Linked DNA regions of Drosophila melanogaster. The protein of the gene in region 3 interacts with the protein of the main gene of each other region in a biochemical or structural test. Each region holds a gene or a part of one and is shown on either strand. Other genes may lie near its edges.

Region 1 (5,175 bases), on a different chromosome or scaffold from region 3:
AGAAATTTGTTTAACCGAAATTTATGCATTTTTTATGTACATTTTAGTGAAATAACTTTAAGCGGCAGTTGAAAGTCATAAATCTTGAGGGATTATGAATAATTAATATATAGAACAAATTCAGAAAATAATAAGTAAGCCACTCCATTACATATTTTCAATGTAATATAAGATTAAAGTCATTTACATTTGATCCGTTTACGGAAATGTATTTGAATAAGTTAGAAAGGTCGAATGGATCAGTTTGAAACTGGTAATAGGTGCGTTATGTACAAAATTAAATTAAATGATTTGGAACAGATAATTTTGTTTGGATATGGCACAACTACTTTTCGTTTGGCTTATCCTTGGGATCTTTACTATCGACACTTTCAGCCGCACTTTCCTCGGTCTTCTTCGACCTTTTCTGCGCCTTTTCAGCCTGCTTTTGCTTTTCGGCCTCAGCCAGAGCAGCCTCCTGCTCCTGTTTTAGTTTTTCCTTCTGCGCTGCAGCCTCAGCCACTTCCTCATCGTCCCAGTCGGCCATCGAGCGGTCGCGCTTTAGCCACGAATGCGTGGTGTCCGGCTTGAAGGCTGCATGGGAATATAAGGGATTGAGAAAATGTACAGCCACTGGCGCTGGAGAAACTCACTCTGGTTGAACCATTTGATGCCGTTCTGCATGTCCTCGATGATTTCACGGGACGTGAACATCACCTCATTCTGCACCGCCTGGTGGAACGTTGAGGTCTCGAACGTGCTCGAGTAGACCGAGTTGCGATCGTGGATGAGCGCGCGTTGCGGGAACTTGGCCAGACAGGTGGCCAGCTCCAGGGCATTGCCCAAGGCCGTGCCTGTGGGCACAATCCTGTTGACCAGTCCAATGTCGTGGGCCTCCTGGGAGCCCACCGGACGTCCCGTAAGTATCAGGTCCAGGGCACGCGACAATCCAATCATAGCCGGCAGCCGGATGGTGCCGGCATCGAGCATTGGCACTCCAAAGCGTCGATTGAAAAATCCCAGTACTGCGGACTCCTCCATCACGCGCAGATCGCACATGAGAGCCAGCTCCAGACCGTTGGCTATGCAGTAGCCATTGATGCCGCACACGACCGGCTTCTTGATCTGGCGACGCGTGGGACCCACGGAGCCCTCCGGTCGCATCAGGATGTCCACGCTGATCTCCTCCTTCTCGTCGGTGCTAATCTCCAGGATGTCGAAGCCGGAGCAAAAGGAGCCGCCCACGCCGTACAGCACGGCCACCGGCGACGTGTCGTCCGCCTCGAAATTGGCGAAGGCGTCGCAAAGCTGCGATGCAGTAAGCGAATCGATGGCATTACGCTGCTGCGGTCGATTGATGCCGATCAGCGTGATGTTCTTATCCTTTTCCACAAGGATGTTCTTCGGTGGCGCCGCCTCTGCTTCCTGGGTCGCTGGATCTGTAGCGATTGAACGGTTACAACAGTATAAGTCCAAATTATGTCACCGGCTTTTTCGCCGACTTACATACCTTTGTGCAGCGCTTTTGTCGAGGAAAATGTGCGACTCGCGGCGGTGAAACGTGCTTGCTGACCCACCTGCTGGGCCAACAGACCTCCAAATTTGCGAAGCATGATCTAAGCCAAAATGGCAATCAATTATTCTTCACAATGGAGAGCAACAAGCTTAAAGACTTACCGGAAAATTAAATATTGGTCAGATTTCGTAAAAACAATTCGATAGTAATTGTCTTACAGAGCTGCCACCGTTTTGTGGCAATCCTATTGTGTTAGCTTTTTCCCGCTAAACTTGGCTATTTTAAAGCTTGGTTTGCTTGGCGGTAAGTTACAAAATAAATTCACCTCAATTTGTTGTTAGGATGTTATAAAAACTATAGAATAGTATATAGTATAGTATAGTACAGTATAGAAAATTATAAATATTATAATTATAAGTGCTAGATTTTAAGTGCTTTATTTAGTTTTATTCTGTACGTACAAAAACAGTTGGCAGCACTGATTCTGCAAAAGGCGTTTTGGCATTTTCAAAAGGCGTTAGTTTCTTGTTGCGGCGTCTCACTGAAAGTTGTTGCAAGAAATTTGTATTAAGTTGTGAAAAATACATTTTAAACTTGATAAATAAATAATGGTCGTGGATATGGACACCAGCGAGACAGCCGTGGAGCTCACTGAGGCGGAGAACGAGCTGTACGACAGACAAATCCGACTCTGGGGTCTGGAATCTCAGAAACGGTGAGTGCAAAAAAACCGGCATTCCGCAATGGCGCTATAATGCGCTAAAATATATTTTCGATTTAAGCCTTCGCACGGCCAAGATTCTCATCGCTGGACTGTGCGGCCTGGGCGCCGAGATAACCAAGAACATCATCCTGTCCGGAGTGAACTCCGTGAAGCTGCTGGATGACAAGGACGTAACCGAGGAGGACTTTTGTTCACAATTCCTTGTCCCCCGTGAATCGCTGAACACCAACCGGGCCGAAGCATCATTGACACGGGCACGTGCTCTCAATCCCATGGTGGACATCTCCGCCGACCGCGAGCCCTTGAAGGAGAAGACCTCTGAGTTCTTCGGTCAGTTCGACGTTGTGGTGGTCAATGGCGCGACCAACGAGGAACTGTTGCGCATTGACACCATTTGCCGGGACCTGGGCGTCAAGTTCATAGCCACCGATGTGTGGGGCACCTTCGGGTTCTACTTTGCCAGTCTGCAGAAGCACAGCTACGTCGAGTAGGTTCCCTACCTACCATTGCCCATTGCTAACTTAATGTCCACCTTTTTTCCAGGGATGTTATTAAGCACAAGGTCGTAGCCAATTCGGAGAAGAAAAAGAAGTATGAAACCGTGTCCATTCCAACGCAGCGTGATGTGGATTATCCCGGCTACTCTGCCTGGCTTGATTTCGATGTTACCGAGCCTAGTTATTTGCGAAAATTGAAGCGCAATGGCCCGGGTGTTTTGCTATTAAGTGTCCTGCAAAAGTTCCGCACAACCCACAAGCGGGATCCCAGCTACAAGACCCGAGAAGCTGACCTGGAATTGCTTCGCGGAATTCGCGACGAACTGCTGCCCAACTCTATACTGGGCGACGAAGCTCTAGGTCTGATTTTTGCACAGATCTCGCCAGCGGTCGCTGTTGTCGGCGGCGTTGTGGCACAAGAGGTCATCAAGGTGGTTACTAAATTGGAGGCGCCACACCGTAATCTGTTCGTTTTTGACCCAGAGACTTGTGCCGGATACGTTGAGGCCATCGGAGCGAAGTGAATTTACCACAAAGGGCTTATTTATAAAAATCTGAATATCAAATAACACCAGTTGTAAAATTTTATTGGTTTTTTAATGTCCCGTACTTATTAAGAAAGCTTAGCTTGTGGTAATCTTAGCGGGGCGTTTAAGTTTAGGGGATGCTGGCCAAGTAGTCCTTGATTGAGGCGGGGTCCAGACGCTGGAATCCGTTCTGATCGCAGATTCCGATCTCAATGTTGTCGGCAGTCATTTTTCCCTCAAAACCTTCTTTCAGCGTAAGGATGGCGGTGTGAACAGCGTCGTCCAGCTCCAGATCTTCGCTGTAGCTGCAGGTTGATGAAAATATGAGTGACTTGCGACTTTAATTGGTGTACTATTATTGGTACTTACCGCTTCTCCAGGAAAGTTTTGCCGTTCACTGCGTTCTTGCCCATGGCAGTGGCCTTCCAGGCGAAGTAGGCGCCCGAAGGATCGGATTGGTAGAGATACGGACGATCATTGTCCCAGCCGCAGATCAGTAGGGAAACGCCAAAGGGACGAACGCCACTGTTGGTGGGATTGCATACGATTATCTATGGGAACCCAAAGTCGAGAAAAGCGCGCACACTTACCCGGACTGAGTGTACTCCTGCATGAGCGTGGCCACGCGCTGCACCAGCTGTGACACTGGAATCGGCTCCTTGTAGGTCAGGTAGTACGTCTGGGCGATCTTGCGGGCCTGCTTGACCAGCAGGCGGTAGTCCGGACCCATTCCCGAGTACACCATGCCGATGTGGTTGTAGATCATCTCCACGCGATGTACACTGTGCTGCTCATACAGCGGTGACTTGTGTTTGTTCTCTGTGGCAATGACGACGCCGTTGGAAGCTACAGCCAAGAAAAATAAATAATAGTGTGTTAGTTGAATGCACAGTACTGGCTGACAGGCTGACTGGCTGTGCGGCATGCTAACCTATAATGCCCACGGAGGGAGCTCCGCCAGATACGGCCGCCAATGCATACTCCAGTTGGACGAGTTTTCCGGAAGGACTGCAAACGGTAGAAAATTGTACTTATTGCCCAGTCATGGCGGCAGTTTGTGTTGCGCGGGGCGAAGCGAATGCTCCGCTCCGGCTATAGCGATGCTCTCACCTGAACGTGGTCAACGAAAAGCTGTATCGTTCGGTAGCCATATTTCCTGGGCCGCAAATGCAGTGATTTGATGTGTAAAATGAAAAAGCCGACTTATTTCGCACAGAAACAAAAATGACACAGCAATTGGGCGGCAGTGTGACCGAATGCTGAATGCCAAATATGGTACAGGTCGATCAGGGGGACTAAACAAATGGGCACACTACCGATTTCTAAACTTAAAAAAATATTTAAACTCATTTATTTATTTTCGCCTACTTTACTTCTTATTACATTATTTCTAAGTTAATTCTAAACTAATTGGTTTTAATCCGATTTAGTGCCGCATAGGGTTCGCCGCAGGTGTCGCCCAAGACTGGACTTTTGTGTGTATCGGGTTGAGCAGTGTGAACACTTGTAGGGTTTTTCCCCCGTATGCGTTCGCAAGTGTTCCTGGTGTTCTGCGCTTCTCGCAAACAATTTTGAGCAGTGCGAACACTTGAAGGGCAATTCTCCCGTGTGCGTTCGCAAATGCATGTGAAGAGTCGAGCTAGTTGTATAGGACTTCGAGCAGTGGGGACACTCGAATTGGTTTTTTCCAGTATGCTCTTGCAGGTGCACCAGCAGTTGCGAGCTTAGTTTAAACTCCTTCGAGCAGTAGGAACACTTGGGTACCTTTTCTCCAATATGATCAAGCATATGCACCCGAAGATGCGTACGACATTTGAAGTCCTTGAAACAGTGGGTACACTTAAAGGGCCGCTCTCCCGTATGCACTTGCTGATGCTCCACAAGATGTGACTTCTTGAAGAAAGATTTCGAGCATTCGGCGCACTTGTACTG
Region 2 (6,072 bases), about 17 Mb from region 3:
AAATACCCTTTCACTTATAAAATACCCTTATTCCTATTTAATTATTAAACTTAATTACTTGAAATTCTCTTATTCTCGTAAAATAAAATGTAAATAGCTTTTAATGGAGTATATGCACAGATTTCCTGGAACTGTGTCTTTATCAATCAATTTTTAATGAGGAAAAATATATTGTTTTATTAGCTTGTTATGTGTTTGTTTTTTTAATTATATAGATCTTGCACACACATCTATGTATGTACATACATATGTACATATAGACTTGTTGTGTACAATCATTTTTAAAGAATTATTTTTTACGTTGTTTTGTAAATCGCTGATGGCTCTTTTAAAATCGTCGATTTGCTTATGCAACTCATTGACTGAAATACCAGACGAACTGGCTGCCACAACTTGAGCAAGGACCTTGGGGCAGGGGCGTGGTTAGCTGTACACTGAAAGAAATTTTAGTGACTTAGCATGTAGCTATGGGGGTAAGTAGCAACTTCGCTCTTACCTTCACATTGAATGGGACACCGACAACATTGTTGGGTTAGTTGCCCCACCGCTGTCAAGGACACGTGCCACAGGAAGTTCAAAGAGTTTAAGGCGAAAGTCCGACAACCGGAAAAAATCAATAATGTCGTATACACGGGGTGCAAATGTACATATGTGTATGTACATGAAAATGACTGCCCCAGCACGTGTCAGCTTATAAGGGGGCAGGATCCATTAAAAATTACCTCGCGGGACTGGACGAATATCGCGTGATTTTCGTGGAAAACCCGCTGCAATTGGTTGCCGGCCTTGTGGGAGTGGGAGCTTCTCCATTCACCATTGTTTGATCGATGTCTGGACTCCATTAACCGGGTTGTTGTTCTACGTTCGTGCCATCAAGACATTGCGAGTTGACTTAGTCCCGCAATTCCCCCACTCCAATTCCACGGGCGGCGATGGCAATTGATGTGGAATTTCAATACTAACATTTGACATAATTCCTATTTATTTGCGCTTAGCTCACGTGCACTTATGTATGTATGTATGTTTACCAGGTGGCATGACCTTCGTGCCAGTGTGGTTTTGATAACGATTTACGATAATGGCGGAAAGTCCTTTTTTATGCATATGTACGTAGTATTGGGAAGAACTTAAGCATGTGGATTTTGTGTCACCGACCATCCAACTTTAATTAATATTATTTTTATTCTTATTTACTTATAAATTTTTCACAGTAATAAAATAGGAACATTTAGTACTTATTTGTAATTTTGTCATGAAATTATAAAAATACTACCTGGTTCTTTCGCATGTATTTCAAACTGATAATATTTCGTTTTCCAAATAATGTGACAATTATATTTTCTATTCATCGTTCATATTTAATAATTTGGTTTAATTAGCTGAAAAACCCAAAACATAAAAATCCTTATCTAACGTGCGACCACTTTTTAAGCGATGTATTCAATTATCAACTGTACTGACCCCCATTTCCCCAGAAGGTGAATCAGCAATATTATCAAATTCCGCGTAACAAGCCGTCTTGAATGTCAGAGGTCCTCCGCCCGGAAAGTGAAAGCTGCTCCGGAATGCTGAGCACGAAGCAAGTGAGTCACGGCATTGAGACTCTGCCGCAGTGGAAATTAATGCCACAACAAATGCCGGCGCAGGATATTATCCTTTTTCCAGGAATCGTACGCTGATTCAGACCCCCCAACCGCATGGGTGGGAGTGGGGTCTTAAATGGATAGCTCGCAGCCACACACACAGATAGTTAGTGCTCACCGTGCTGTTTCATTCATAAAAGCTGAAAAAGCTTTTCGGAGGCAGTCGCTCGTGGAGATGAGTCACATGTGAAAGACACTGAGATAAATGACGGAAGTTATTTTTTCCATTTATATTTTACTTTTCGTAAATATGCATATATAGTTGGAATATTCGGCTATTTAAACGAATCTCACATTGAAAATCGAATTCTTGATGATTGGTTACCATACAGTTGAATTCTCAATATTTAAGAAAAACAAAATATTTATATTTTCCGATTCCTTTGGGATGCTCCTAATAAAAAGATATGCATTTTCAATTAATTAGGTATTCCTTCAATATAATACGTGTTATAGATTTAAAAGGTGACACATTTTAAAAGCTTTTGAAAGAAACAACTGGCCTGCATTCCTACTAATCGGTATCAGTCAGATAAAAACATTTATATTATATGTATGTATATATTGTTTCGCCTTTATGCAATCATCGCGTATTCCTCGAAACTCGGATTTGTGGAAGATGTGGACATCTGTAAGCTATAAGTCGCAAGTGGAAAACTTCAATCGTACGTGACTCAGCACATGCTGATCTCGCACTCTTCGCCAAGCTAGGCTCTTCGGATTGTCTCTCTTCTGAGCTTAAGTCGAGACTGCAAAGAGCAGAGCTTGGGGCCGACTACTTAACTCCGTTGAAAGCTTCGCGATCTGCAAGTTTTGCGGTATTTTTCAGTGGCGCATACGGTATTGAAAGTTTGGCTCGCCTGTTTCTTCTTGGTGGGCAGTTAGTGTTCAAATCGCGGGCGTCGAGATCGGTTGGTAGTGCGTGTGTTACGGGTATTTTATCTCCACCTCCAAATTGTGCCTTATTTACCTTTTTCGCTGTGCTTTAAGCTTCCGCTCTCTTTCGCTCTTCTGGAGCTCGAAGGCAGGTTGAAATACCAGTAGATAAAAATAAAACGAAAAGTAAAAGAGCTGCATAAAAACGCATAAATTCAATTGAGCTCTAAGCAAGTTTCACTTGCTTTTTCGTATTACGAGTGACAAAAAAAAGAGACCCACCAATATAACGGAGGAAAAAACAAAAATAAAAAACTCGGCGCACGTATTGATAATTTCTATTAAAACTGAACGTTTACCGATTAGATTACACGGCACATCGACACTTTAACCACAAACATCGCAAGAATAACCAAAGAAAATGGAGGGCAGAGCGCGATAACAAATTACCCTAAATTATAAATCGAATAAATCGAAAAACAAAAACAAAAGGTAGTCGTACGTCGATGATCGCATAAGCATAAAGCCCGGAATTCCCTAGAAAAAATCGACGTCACGCGCTCTCTCGCGCTCTTTGCCCACTCTCTCTTTCTTCGGACTTCGATTTCTTAACTTTTCATTAGTTTCTGTTCGAACTGTTCTCCCCCATCCGTTGTTTTTGTCGTTATTATCGATATTATCGCACCCGCTTTGTGCGCGCGCAAAAGTTAAAAAAGAATAAAATAAGAAGAATCAGAAAGAGAGAGAGAGAGAGAGTGAGTGAGAAAGGGAGGGAAGAATAAATTATTTATATATAAAAAATAATAAATAAACCGGTTCCTGCCGTGCGTGCTTGTGTATGTGTTAACATTAACATGAAAAAAGCGCCATATTTCTCAACTATAAATAAATGGCTTATTTAGCTCGCTGTGCAACGGACTAATTTTCCAATTAACACAATAAGAAACTTAACAAATAATGTACATAAAAGTGTACTAATTGGTTCGCGTTGAATTTCAGGTGTCCGATTTACTTAGCAAACCCAGTGATATCAATGCATATAAGCGAGATTTCAGATCACTCCTTGACTTAGGTGAGTCCCCCTATAGAGCCTAGCTTAATTTATTGATTCTGAACATTGATTGCACGGATTAATAAAGTGCGGTGGAAAATCCTAATGGCTGCGTTTTGCGAGAAGGGTCTTGATATTTTAATAAATATGTACACAACTATTGCTTCCAAAGACGCAAAATGTCATTACAAAGAAACGCATCTTGCATTAAACATATTAAAAATATAACCTTATTGAGTCATTGGACGCCTTATCGTTTCGGAACAATGTTTACAGCAACAACATCGTGATTTATCAACCATTATTCACACTTTTAAGGTTTGATAAACCAAGACTGGTCACTTTTCTCGCATATTAATATTTTTCATCCTAAATAGTTTTAACATTTTGACAATGTTTAAAATTCCTGGATGCTAAGATTTGTAATAGCTCACAATTTCTGCATGACAAATAATAGTTAAGATGTTAAAAAAAAACTATTAGAACGTATTCAATCCTTTGTAGTGTAACCGCAGTTGTTGTTGTTGTGTTTTTTGGGTGGCAATTATCCACCTGCGTATTAAATAATCTACGGTGAATGCAAACGATAAACTTAAATAATACAACCGAAACACCTGTGTACATGGCAGCGCAGTCGCAGTGGCTTTTCGACGTCGCCATAAATGAAAGTTTCTTACGGGCACGTGGGTGGGCGAGGGGGGCCGTGGGGCCCAGAGGGGGTGGGGCTCGTGGAAAAGCTTTTGCCCCTTGTATTTATTTATTTTTTGCTGCCACTCAAATACGCCGGAGAGGTTTTCAATTGTTTCATTCTAAGATCGACTCGATGCGCCTGCGGTCGTGTTTGCGCTAACATTCTTTTATTTTTATTAAATATTTTTAAAATTCCCTAACGGTTCGATATTATTTTTAAGTAATAATTTGAAAAGTACCATTTTGAAAGAACAAACTGCGGTTAGTGTGCGTTTTGTGGCCCAAATAAAAGCAAAAAGTGAAACCGAATTCGTCATGAGTGTTCACTGGTTCTTGGTTTGATTCGCAGGTAATTATGAAGAATGAAGAAATGCTTTTAGCTGCTAATACGGTGTAAACTCGAAAAGTGCAACCAAGTTAAATGCAAACCGTGTGCTGACTCATAACATCAGACTCTCGTCTCCGGGACCAAAGAAAATCAAAGCGCTAAAATCGCTCAACTCGTTTCCAGCAAGTCATCGGCGATTTACAAAGCTCGAGTAGAGATTTGTGTGCTAACAGAGATCTAAGGCCAAGTCAATAGATAATATTGGTTATATCTACTGGTAGTTTCCCCGTATGCTAAATCCGAGTCATGATTGATACACGATCTGGCTGTGGGTAAGGCCCTCCGCTATGCAAATCATCAATCAATAGGGATTCTATTTTAGGCGAATATCATTTAAACCACTCGATAAGAAAGATCGTGGCCGTTATAATTGGAGATACGGATAAGATATGTATCTGCATTTTTGCCGGAAGTCACATGTGCACAATAATCCCTGATCGGCTAATTTAACAAACATTGTTTGGTGTGGAAAATAAGGATAATGGACTTGTATTCATACGATACAAAACATAGCTTTTGGCAACTAGTTCCATCGATTTGTCAGCATATCGGTTATTTATTTTTATTTGAGCTGTAAATTGCTTGACGCCAACGATCGTTAAAAAACATTTGTCTGTCTGGAGTTCTTGTTTTTTTTTTTTTTGCGGAACCCGTTTCACTGAGGAATTTTTGGCTGCTTCTGATGCTTTGATGTTGATCTTAATCTTAATTTGTGGTGCTGGCGCCAAAAGAACTTTTTTCTGTGTGTCTTTGCTATTGGAAATTGCATAAAATTAGCATGTTAAATGATCGAAACGAAATGTTCATTTTATTTTGTTTACTTACCTTTTTTTTTTATTTTTCGCCAAAAGTAGTTATCGTTGAACGAGTAGAACGTTATTTTATTAATTCATTTTATGGCTTAACAGCATAGACTTTTTTCTTTTGAATTTATCGTGTGGATTTTTGCAAGACATGGTGAAAATTAATAGCTAATCAAATAAATTATTTATTGTTTTGAGCAAACGAAGGGCAAAACCATAGGAAATTCCAATATAACTCCCCTGCAAAACACTTAAACCAAAAACCATCTATCGATACATTCTCAGGCCATCGTCATTTAGATTTATTTTTATATTCTTATCTTACTTTTGGTTATCTTTGAGTTTTTTTTTCGGATTTTCTACGCTCAACACCTGAGCGTTATCAGTCTGAATGCCGCAGGTTCTATCTGACGGGAATAAACGGTGGCAAATTTGTGTGGTTGCAAATGGTTCTAATCTCAATATAGCTGCGGATGAAACCATCGTAAATAGTGTATTGCAATTAAATTCGGTGGCAGTATAATTCTTGTTAGCCTTTGAATGACATATTAAATTGGTTAATCGATTGAAACTATGGGAATTTCCAGTATTTTGATATCCTCAAAATATTAGATTTAATTT
Region 3 (5,700 bases):
GAAGCTGCACAAGCTGAAGAAGGTATGTGAAGCAGACTCAGCCCGGAAGCTGCATTAACATGTTTCCCGTAATTCCCACTCCCTGCAGTCAACGGGCGAGAAGGCGGACACGATGACCAAGAAAGACGCCATGTACTTCCCGCTGATCGCGTCGGCAGCCCTCTTCGGGCTGTACCTGTTCTTCAAGATCTTCCAGAAGGTGCACATCAACTACCTGCTCACCGGCTACTTCTTCGTGCTGGGAGTTATTGCTCTGGCGCACCTGCTCAGTCCGGTGATCAACTCGCTGATGCCCGCCGCCGTGCCGAAGGTGCCCTTCCACATCCTGTTCACTAAGGGGGAGGGCAAGCACAAGGAAGACATCGTTAACTACAAGTTCTCCACGCACGACATTGTCTGCCTGGTGATCTCCTCGGCGATCGGAGTGTGGTACCTGCTCAAGAAGCACTGGATCGCCAACAATCTGTTCGGTCTGGCCTTCGCCATCAACGGCGTGGAGATGCTGCACCTGAACAACTTCGTCACGGGCGTCATCTTGCTGAGCGGCCTGTTCTTCTACGACATCTTCTGGGTATTCGGCACCAACGTGATGGTCACCGTGGCCAAGAGCTTCGAGGCGCCCATCAAGCTAGTGTTCCCCCAGGACCTGATCGAGAACGGCCTGAACGCCTCGAACTTCGCAATGCTGGGACTAGGCGACATCGTTATTCCGGGCATCTTCATCGCTCTGCTGCTGCGCTTCGACGACAGCAAGAAGCGCAAGACGCGCATCTACTTCTACTCCACGCTGATTGCCTACTTCCTTGGCCTGCTGGCCACCATCTTCGTGATGCATGTGTTCAAGCATGCGCAGCCGGCTCTGCTCTACCTGGTGCCAGCCTGCATGGGCACGCCCCTCCTGGTGGCCCTCATCCGCGGCGAGCTGAAGGTGCTCTTTGCGTAAGTGTGGACTGCGCTGGGCGCTCGACTTGAAACTAAACTAACTCATTCTCGCCCCCACTGCAGCTATGAAGATCATCCCGAGGAGAAGCCCGAAAAGAAGGAGAAGAAGGAGAAGGACGAGGGCGTCAGCTCGTCCGGCAGCAAAAAGAAGGAGTCGAAAAAGGGCAAGTAGAGCCGGGAGGACGCAACATCCGAACAACATCCCCACTCGTTCCATCGTAAATGTCTTCTGCAGCTAGCCAAGCTCCCTTTCGTTTCGATATGGCTTCTCCATCTACCGCAGTCCATAGCTCATATGGACTAACACCGCTACAAAAGACGATTCACTTACTGAGTTAGTTATGTACGTTCCTTGGCCAGGCACAACAATCTTATTTAGTTCGGTTAGGTTACAATTGTAGAAAATGTTCCCTCGACTTTTTTACCGCAATCAATTTAAATATGTATTTCAAATATTTCTGTGGCTCCGCACAGGAGGCTTATATGTTTAAGAACAGTTTAGATACAAATATATTCCAATTTTTGTAAACAGTGCAATTTTGACTACGAATTCTACATTGCATTTCTTAAAACTAATGCAGTAATTTGTGTAAACAGTAATGCGAATAAATTTTAATTCTAACGTTTAATTAAACTAGTTTTGTATTGAGTAGAGGGTTTTTAGGAATGTAACGGCTTAAGAGAAAAACCTAATACATTTTAAGTTGAGCTTACCAAAATCCAAAGAATTTTTAAATTTAAAACATAATACAAAAGTGCTTTGAAAAAGTCAGTATTTTAATACCACTGTTTATCCACGGCCACACTAAATATCGATAACCGCATAGTGAGACCCTTTGTGTAGAAAAACTTATACCTTTAGCGAGCACAAGCGTTCATTCCTGAAAAATTGCGGTAAAAATTGCGAAAAGCGCGAGTTCCCCCCGCGATTGCAAATAATTAATTTGCTTGGAACCACTGGAGACGCAAGGACGAACAGAGAGGTAGGTGCTCTTGCACTTAGCGCGCCAAAAGGCGACAAAGCCCCTCGTAGGCCACTTACCCACACACACACATTCGCAGACAGACGCGCGTGCAAAAAAGGCCAAGTGGGACTGCTAGCGGAAATCCAGGACTCGAGGACACGTTCGGGCGGCAGTAGAGAAGCGAGCAAGCAGCGACGACCATGTCCGGCATTGCTATTACACGATTGGGGGAGGAGCGCAAGGCCTGGCGCAAGGATCACCCATTCGGGTTCGTCGCACGACCCGCCAAGAACCCTGACGGCACCCTCAACCTGATGATCTGGGAGTGCGCCATTCCCGGCAAGAAGTCCACCCCCTGGGAGGGCGGGCTCTACAAGCTGCGCATGATCTTCAAGGACGACTACCCCACCTCGCCGCCCAAGTGCAAGTTCGAACCGCCGCTGTTCCACCCGAACGTCTATCCCTCGGGCACTGTTTGCCTGTCGCTGCTGGACGAGGAGAAGGACTGGCGCCCCGCCATCACCATCAAGCAAATCCTGCTGGGCATCCAGGACCTGCTCAACGAGCCGAACATCAAGGACCCAGCCCAGGCGGAGGCCTACACCATCTACTGCCAGAACCGACTGGAGTACGAGAAGCGCGTGCGTGCCCAGGCCCGCGCCATGGCGGCCACTGAGTAGTCGGGCTCCTGCCAACCACCTTTACCACATAGACATTAACAAATACACACATCTAGCCGGTAAGCGTTTGTTTGGAATGCTCTCCACGTCTACTTACTTTTAAAGAATCGACTAATTTTGGATAGCCCCCGCGGCCCGAAGCATCTAATTTTTTAATGTTCTGCACTTGCTTAATTACCAGCATGTACCATCTGAATAAATACAAATAAGTCCTGTAATTTTTCGATGAGGCCCAAAGTGGCCACGTGGCACCCAGAATTCGACGCTCTTTTCAGCTTCCATTCTGGGTGCAGGTGCCGATTATTCTACGGGCTATTTTGTATCGCGAGTACTACGTACAAACCTATGTAATTTCAATAAAAATTTATTAGTTGTAAAAGCTTATGCATTTTAAAGCGGAAAGGATTTCCCAGCAAATGTGCAGTCGAGCACTTGTTGGTCGTCAGTAGCCGTACAGCTGGATTTAGTGCTTGAATTATTCCATATAAAGTTCTTCCTTTTGCTTATTATTTAAGTAACATGACTATTTTTAAATTTAAGCATTTTATTTAAAAACTTGTTCAGTCCATTTTTACCTTTATATTTTATTTGATTTTTAGGCATTTGAAGCTGGTCACATTTCCCAACTATTTCAGCTGATCTGGCAAGTCCGCCAACATTACTATGCATAATTTTTGGCTGATCTGGTAGCATTCGCTGCTGATATAGCAATGCTTCCAGCTAACGGTTCATTTCCAACGAGGCCGCCATATTGAAAAATGCCCAGTTAAAACACCTACTGAGATTTGTGTTCGCCTGGTACTTCAGTCTGGGGAATCCGGCATACTGACAGCTGAATTTATTATTTTTCCCGAGGATGCTCATATATTTCGAACTGAATTACCAGGGAAGCATAAGCGTGGAAAGGTGTTTTTAAAACAACCGCCAGGATTCCCAAAGTCTTGGTTTTGGTGGGCATGCTCTATTCTGAGTACCAGGCGAACAGAACTTCTAGTAGGCTACCAACGATCAGCTGATCTATCTGATGCCTGGTCTAATCTAACGGTTCTTTTATTAGGGATGCCACAATATTTTTCTATTGATCCGGTAATATGTCCGATGTTTGACAATATTTTAATCAATCTGGCAACTATGTCGTCATAACATTTTTCGCTAATCTGGCAGCACTCAAATCGTTCGTTGAATTCAAAAATGTAAAATGTCGTTTAGTTACTAATTTCACTATATTTTATATTGAATAAATTAATTACTTTTATTGTCGCACACACTTAATAAATAATGTACTCATTTAAATTACACAGTTAGAATTGCTCGCTTTATGGGGAACAGCGAGTAATTTACATTATAGTATTGGATCTACATTGGAATACTTCGCCTCCTTCTACTCCGCAGACCATTGCAAACTTGTAGTTTCTCGCCCTCAATTTAATTTCTGTCTAAGTGGTAAGCTTTGGCATGCATTATATGTCATGGTTCCCACTTAATGGGTATGCGCCTAAATTAATGTACCTAAGTATCTATGTGTTATTCCTTTAGGTGTACTGTATATGTACGGGAGTACGATGTATATATCTACTTCTATCGATCGGTAAGTCGAAGGAGTCAGTCCCCAAATGGAGTTGGAAGTGGAGGGCAGCGACGGGAGATTTTCCGGGAATACTGTCGTCGATGGTTGGTTGCGGTTTGGATAGTGTACATTTTTAAAGGAGGCTAGGATTCGATTAGTTTCGATTGGGTTGGGCTGCTGCTTAGAAGCACGTGTAATACCACTCAAGCTGCTTGCGCTGCGCCTCCCACCGCAGCTGGCTTTCTCAAATGGCCGCCTCCTGCAGGTTTTCCTTGTTCTTCTGCTGGCCGTGTCCGCCGACCAGGCCGCCAATGCCCAGGCCCACGGCAACGCCTCCGCCCAGGTGATTCGGACTGGGGCTGTCGCTGGCCTCGGGGCGAATGGGCTTGTTTTTGCAGTAGAACTGCTTGTGAGCCAGGTAGGTCTTCACGTAATTGAAGGATATGTCACAGGTTGAGCAGTACTTCTTCATCACCTCGGCGGCGGCAGCTGCTGCGGCAGCCACGCTGCTGCTGTTTCCCAGCGGAGAAGTCATCGGCGGAACCAGCCCGCCGGGCGCAGCATCCGCTCCGACTTCGATTGGCTCAGCCTTAATATGTGGCGTGGCGATCGGGGAGTTGTTGTTCTCGTGCACCAGATTCACAGTCGGTGGTGGATCCAGAGGCTCCGATTTAATGTGGAAACTGTGGACGAGGAAGTTAGAGAAGATATAGTAATAAGAATGTAGATAATTTCCTGTCATCCTTACCTGGGTGCTTCACCGTTGGATACATCGGAATTCGAGTGTTGGTTGGTAGTGGGGTTGGAAGTCACATCTTGATCTCTGGTGTCGGGGGAAATGGAGGGAGAGTTGATGGCCACATGGGGATGCATCAGCTTCATGTGGCGCAGCTGTAAGGAAAAAGCTATAGTGAGTTCTTTGGTCTGGCAGCAATAAAAAGGAGTACGCACCACATTGCCCTTGTAGGTGGAGACATAGTTGCAGTAATCACAGTTGAACATCTGCGAGGGATGATCCATGGAATCGTGTCCAGTTGTGGTAGATGCCCCTGTTGGAGTAACCAGTTCCTGACTCAGCGCGCTAGCATCCTCTTCAAAGATGCAGGTCATGTATAGCTCCTCGTTTACGTCGCTAGTCTTCTTGTCGAAATGGGTTCGAATGTGGGTGCGCATGCCGCGAAGAGTGTTCCCCTTGTACTGGCAGATGCTGCAGCGGTATGCCTTTACTGTTCCGTGCATCTCCATGTGTTTCTTGGCCAGTGCTGCTGTGGGACTCACTACCCCGCAAACAGGACACTTGTTCAGACTATTGGTGGCGGGTTGCGGATTGACTGTCGGCGCTGCGAGAGGATTCGCAACGGGTGGTGGACAAGGCAGACCAATTTCATGCAATGTCTTGCACTTTCCGCACTTCTCCTTTGGCATGCCCAGTTGGCCAGGATCCGTGGGCGTCGCGGCAGGGGCAGCAACTGCTCCTCCCTTGGGGCAATAGTAGTTCTGATGGGCTCGCAGGTTGTCCAGGGAAGTGTACTTAATTCCGCAGGCG
Region 4 (4,733 bases), 6.4 Mb from region 3:
CGATCGGCGGGACAGGGAGCGCGAGCGTGATCGCGATCGCGAGCGTGAGAAGAAAAAGAAGCGCTCCAAGTCTCGCGAACGCGAATCCTCCAGGGAGCGTCGCGAACGGAAGCGAGAGAGAAGGGATCGAGAACGCGGCACCGGATCCGGCGGCGATGTCAAGGAGCGCAAGCCCGATTTCCGTGATATGGATGTCATCAAGATCAAGGAGGAGCCCGTCGACGATGGCTATCCCACATTTGACTACCAGAACGCGACCATCAAGCGTGAGATCGACGATGAGGATGAGGAGAAGTACCGGCCGCCGCCTGCGCATCACAATATGTTCAGTGTGCCGCCGCCGCCCATTTTGGGGCGTGGAAATGCCAGCACGAATCCCAATCCCGACAATGGCCAGCAGAGCTCCGGCGACCCGAGTTGGTGGCGTCAGTAGAGTCATGGAGCGATGTGTCAAGGTTAATATTTCTAGAAGTCAGACGTCTGTGAGTCGCAACTATTTATTCATTCGACTCCGAGGCACCCCAATCCTGGAGAGCCTAACCGTAGCTATCCATTTTACACAGAAAATTTTAAGGTACCACTTGGAGGAGGGCCAAGTAGAACAAGATTATAGAAAACCCGACCGCTAAACGCAGAATCCGCTAATGTGTGCGTAGCTTAAATCACTTAAATTTATAAGTAACTCTTAACAAATGAATATGAAAACAGTAAGTAAAATAAAGCTAGCCCTCATGTGTTTGTTTCCCCACCTTTGGTAAGGGGGTTAAAGGGAATACGGAGAGTCAGGAGCTGGAACGCTTTCGGTGGCGCATACACCGTACTATATGGTTACTCCATCCCATGGTGGTTCCTGGGATTTTCTAACTCACCTAACATAATAAGCTGAACAATACAAACCCTTGCACTAACTCGTGCCTTTTATTTTCTCTGTTTTTTTGCAGTTTTCAATCAATTGAAAATCTGACTCTGACTAGTGTGAAAGCAAAAGCATAAGTATTTAATCAAACAAACAGTAATCCAAAAACGAAAATTAGTTCCGCCAGTATTCGTAGCCCATGCCCAAGTCTAAATTCCAAGCCCACATCAGGTAATTTGGTCTACGCACAAACCTCACTAATCCATGCGTCTACCGTTCTAGGACAGCTCTAGAATCAAGACAGCTACCGCAATACTTTTCCAATCTCCTCCGCTCTAGGTTGCCTGTGTTGTGTGGTGGTGTGGCGTGTAAGTTGATTCCGGGCTAAGAAATTTTGTAAACCAAAACCTTTTCCGTAAGTTTGCCCCGGTAAGATTACGATATCCTCGCCTAACCGCCGTGGATCGGATGGATGAGTGAGTTAGTGTAAGGGAGCTTTCCTCTGTTTGGTACACATTGCGAACTGCTCCGATGGCCTGTGGCAATCTACTCCATTCATCCATTATGTCTGTAACCAATTTACCATTTCGATCTTTTCATGTACGTTGAGCTGATTGTTATCGTACTGAAGACGAATCCGCGGCGGAAACTCGCATAGAACAAACAGAAAACTGCGCAAAGGTTTGCTTTTGGTAACTGGTAACGATTGGTTGTGGTTGGTCAGGTCAGGGGTCTTTCGAGCTGGTTAGCCTCCACTTTGGATTGCGGACGGTGACAAAATTCTGGGGGTCTTTTATTTTTGTATTGTATTGTTTGGCAGACAGGATCCATGCAATTGCCTTTTCGTACCGTGCGACATACGGGAAACAAACTATTGTGTAGCAGGGCATTTTTCCTATTACACCATTATTAAGAAAAGCGGACAGAGATCAATGTCACATTTAGATTTGATCAAATAAAGAAAAGAATTCCTCCTTACACGAAAAAGTACTTGTTTCATTTCTAAGTATTTATCAAGATGACTTGAATTTTTTACAATTTTCGCTTGTTAAACTGGTCTATATGTCCTGGATAAGAAGATTTGCAGTGGCGTCCTTGGAATCTCTTTAAAAATGTATACATTTGTTGCAAATAAAGCATTGTGAAATCTATGGACATTAAATGCGACCTCTATTGGAAAACATTCACATATGTCGCAAATTATTATAAGCGGATATGATAGAAAATGTTAAAGTAAAAGGGACTAATTTCAAGGATGAAACATTGAATATCAATAGCAAGCATTTTTCATTCCAACCCGATAAGTACCTATGTACCCAGTTATATTACGAGTAATGGGTATCAGCTGATCGCTACCTTTGCTTCTAAAATGGCATACTGCGTATATCAATAGGCGACATATCGATATAATTGACTGCTATCTCAGCAACATAAAGAAACTGGAATATTCTAACTGTATTTTGCATGCGAATATAAACTTTAGCCGTAATCTTGTCGAATGCTACAAAAAACTACCCAGTAACTTATTATTCTGCCTTTCTTTAATTCGATTCCCTTTGCCATTGAGTACCCGATAGTTAAATATTTGTATGCTGCCCTGCGTACACTGGCCTACAAGCAACTCGAAAAATTCAATTATGTTCGCCGATAGTTAAATAATTTGATGTGGCCCTGCTCACATTGGCTAACAAGTAATGTGAATTAATTATGGGTATAGATATTGCTTGAATTGCAATTCTCATATCACTTTTTTTTTAATTTTCCGTAATATTCATCTTTACGAACCATCCCAATACTTATGCTTCTATTTAAATATTAACATTCATATTTATATTAAACATATATATTGACTCTCTAATATGCTTTAAATGCTATTTAAATCGATTGCGTGCTTAGCATTACATTTTTTAGTCCAATTGTTTGAATATTTTTTCTTTTCGGCATATATCAAAATTACTTGTTAGGAAAAACGTGACCGAAAACCGAAACAGTGACAATAATGGATGGTTGCTGGCGAATCTATCGACTACCTATCGTGTATCGATACACACCGATAGTATCGCAAAAGTTAACGAGGTAGGTCCAGCACCAGTTTTTTTGGCGTGTAGCTGTAGCAGAAGCAAAAGGAAGCCGCTTGTGATAAATTTCAACTTCCATCAGCAAGCACTGAATTTGAGGAAATCAGGTAAATTTTTGCATTTCTACGCGATTAGTTGCTGCCCCGCGGTATTGTGCTTAGTTTTTACGTGTGGTTTACCAATTTCCGCGTACTTAATTGGACATTTTGCCTCGTTTTTTTTCGTACAGCACGCCCGGCATTCGACGCTCCGCAAAAGAAAAAAAAAACTTTTTTGACCACTTAGCAGCTTCAACAAGCAACCAAAAAATCAACATGTCTGACGAAAAGAAGGGAGGTGAGACCGAGCACATCAACCTGAAGGTCCTCGGCCAGGACAACGCCGTCGTCCAGTTCAAGATCAAGAAGCACACACCCTTGAGGAAGCTGATGAACGCCTACTGCGACCGTGCCGGACTCTCCATGCAGGTGGTGCGCTTCCGTTTCGACGGACAGCCCATCAACGAGAACGACACTCCGACCTCGCTGGAGATGGAGGAGGGCGACACCATCGAGGTTTACCAGCAGCAGACTGGTGGCGCTCCATAAGATTACTTAGTTAAGTTAGTTACTCCTCTTACAACTACACACTTAAAACGAAAAAGAAAAAAATACAAGAAAAACCACAAAAGCAAAAACACAACAACAACAACATGAAGAATCCAACAAACCAGGCCCTAAGAATCGATTGAATATGCTTTTAGTACAACTGTAGATTCTAAATGCGTCTGTGTGCGTAAATAACAAAAACATTTGCAGACAAGAAAATGGTAAATAAAGCATTTTATAAACTACACAAAATTTGCCGTCTTTCGCTATTTATTCCTGCGCCTGATCGGCGTTTGTTTTTGCCCTTCTGCAACGAAAAGCCGGTGCGAATTTCCCGCTTTGTGACCCTCTTTCTAAACAGCACGCACACACACTGTCATTGGCATGGCACGTCTGTGTGCGAGCAGGACTGGGTCCAGTGCGCGTGTGTGCGTGCAAATTGATATACATACACATCGGAGAACACTGAATTTGCGGGAAAAGTACAAGCATACATATACGCCTGCGAATTTGCGAAGTCTGGGAAAACATAACCTCAAATTTGAACAAGAAAAAAAAATGACGTCAGTTTTGAGAACCTTCTGGAAATTACATAGAGGTAACTATAACCTCAAAATTGGGATCTAGTAATACGCTTGTGTGTTTGTGAAAGCCAAGCCATACATGATGATTGTGTATGTATACCATGTATACATACATACCATTCATGATGTATGTGCGTATGTGCTTAAATTTTCAAAGGTACAGTTGTGTAAAAAAAAACTATGATGAAAAATTAAAAAGTAGATATGTACGTATGCATACATGAAGTCATGTCGACAGGTCCTGTTATATTAGACCGGCTGTATATGTATATGTATATGTGTTCATTTTTAATATTGGTATTGGGTAAAAATTTCCGAAATTTTTCTTATAGATTTTTTGCTGTCTCACCATGACTCAGCACCATACATATATACTTTATATTGTAAAACATTTATTTTCCAGGCCCTTTAATTATGTATTGAGAAGCAAAGTAATGAGTCAAAGTCGAAGTCTATTGAGTTTGTTCATACTTTGTTGCATTTCATAGATGAATTTCATAACTCGTAATAAAATTAAAATTCATTAACATTATGTATTTAATTTTACTTGTTGAGTCCAATTTATAGTATTATTTGCCAATGTATACTGTATGTTGAATGGAATAAACTAGTTTTTCAAATATGGATA

The links.
Region 1: of the proteins of lwr (region 3) and Aos1, one has a biochemical effect on the other in vitro, tested with the Drosophila melanogaster proteins (one study listed by BioGRID).
Region 2: of the proteins of lwr (region 3) and dl, one has a biochemical effect on the other in vitro, tested with the Drosophila melanogaster proteins (one study listed by BioGRID).
Region 4: of the proteins of lwr (region 3) and Sumo, one has a biochemical effect on the other in vitro, tested with the Drosophila melanogaster proteins (2 studies listed by BioGRID).

The regions. Positions count from the first base shown.
Region 1 is NT_033777.3:12,430,660-12,435,834, reverse strand, and holds Aos1 (activator of SUMO 1), read left to right. Parts: upstream 1-2,012; 5' UTR 2,013-2,103; coding exon 2,104-2,210; intron 2,211-2,277; coding exon 2,278-2,706; intron 2,707-2,762; coding exon 2,763-3,240; 3' UTR 3,241-3,302; downstream 3,303-5,175. Other genes in the region: Srlp (Spliceosome-ribosome linker protein), read right to left, coding at 326-573, 633-1,418, 1,490-1,592; Prosalpha2 (proteasome alpha2 subunit), read right to left, coding at 3,374-3,548, 3,613-3,768, 3,834-4,089, 4,175-4,251, 4,354-4,394; CG5245 (uncharacterized protein), read right to left, coding at 4,660-5,175.
Region 2 is NT_033779.5:17,446,815-17,452,886, reverse strand, and holds the start of dl (dorsal), read left to right. Parts: upstream 1-2,522; 5' UTR 2,523-3,011; intron 3,012-3,518; 5' UTR 3,519-3,591; intron 3,592-4,376; exon of another isoform or gene 4,377-4,609; intron 4,610-6,072. UniProt on the Drosophila melanogaster protein: Embryonic developmental transcription factor. The lateral or ventral identity of a cell depends upon the concentration of this protein in its nucleus during the blastoderm stage.
Region 3 is NT_033779.5:538,655-544,354, reverse strand, and holds lwr (lesswright), read left to right. Parts: upstream 1-1,774; 5' UTR 1,775-1,925; intron 1,926-1,975; exon of another isoform or gene 1,976-2,004; 5' UTR 2,005-2,107; coding exon 2,108-2,587; 3' UTR 2,588-2,646; exon of another isoform or gene 2,647-3,118; intron 3,119-3,186; 3' UTR 3,187-3,756; downstream 3,757-5,700. Other genes in the region: Spp (signal peptide peptidase), read left to right, coding at 1-22, 89-939, 1,006-1,114; ush (u-shaped), read right to left, coding at 4,399-4,837, 4,903-5,045, 5,106-5,700.
Region 4 is NT_033779.5:6,965,816-6,970,548, reverse strand, and holds Sumo (small ubiquitin like modifier), read left to right. Parts: upstream 1-2,904; 5' UTR 2,905-3,041; intron 3,042-3,163; 5' UTR 3,164-3,248; coding exon 3,249-3,521; 3' UTR 3,522-3,769; downstream 3,770-4,733. Other genes in the region: snRNP-U1-70K (small ribonucleoprotein particle U1 subunit 70K), read left to right, coding at 1-433.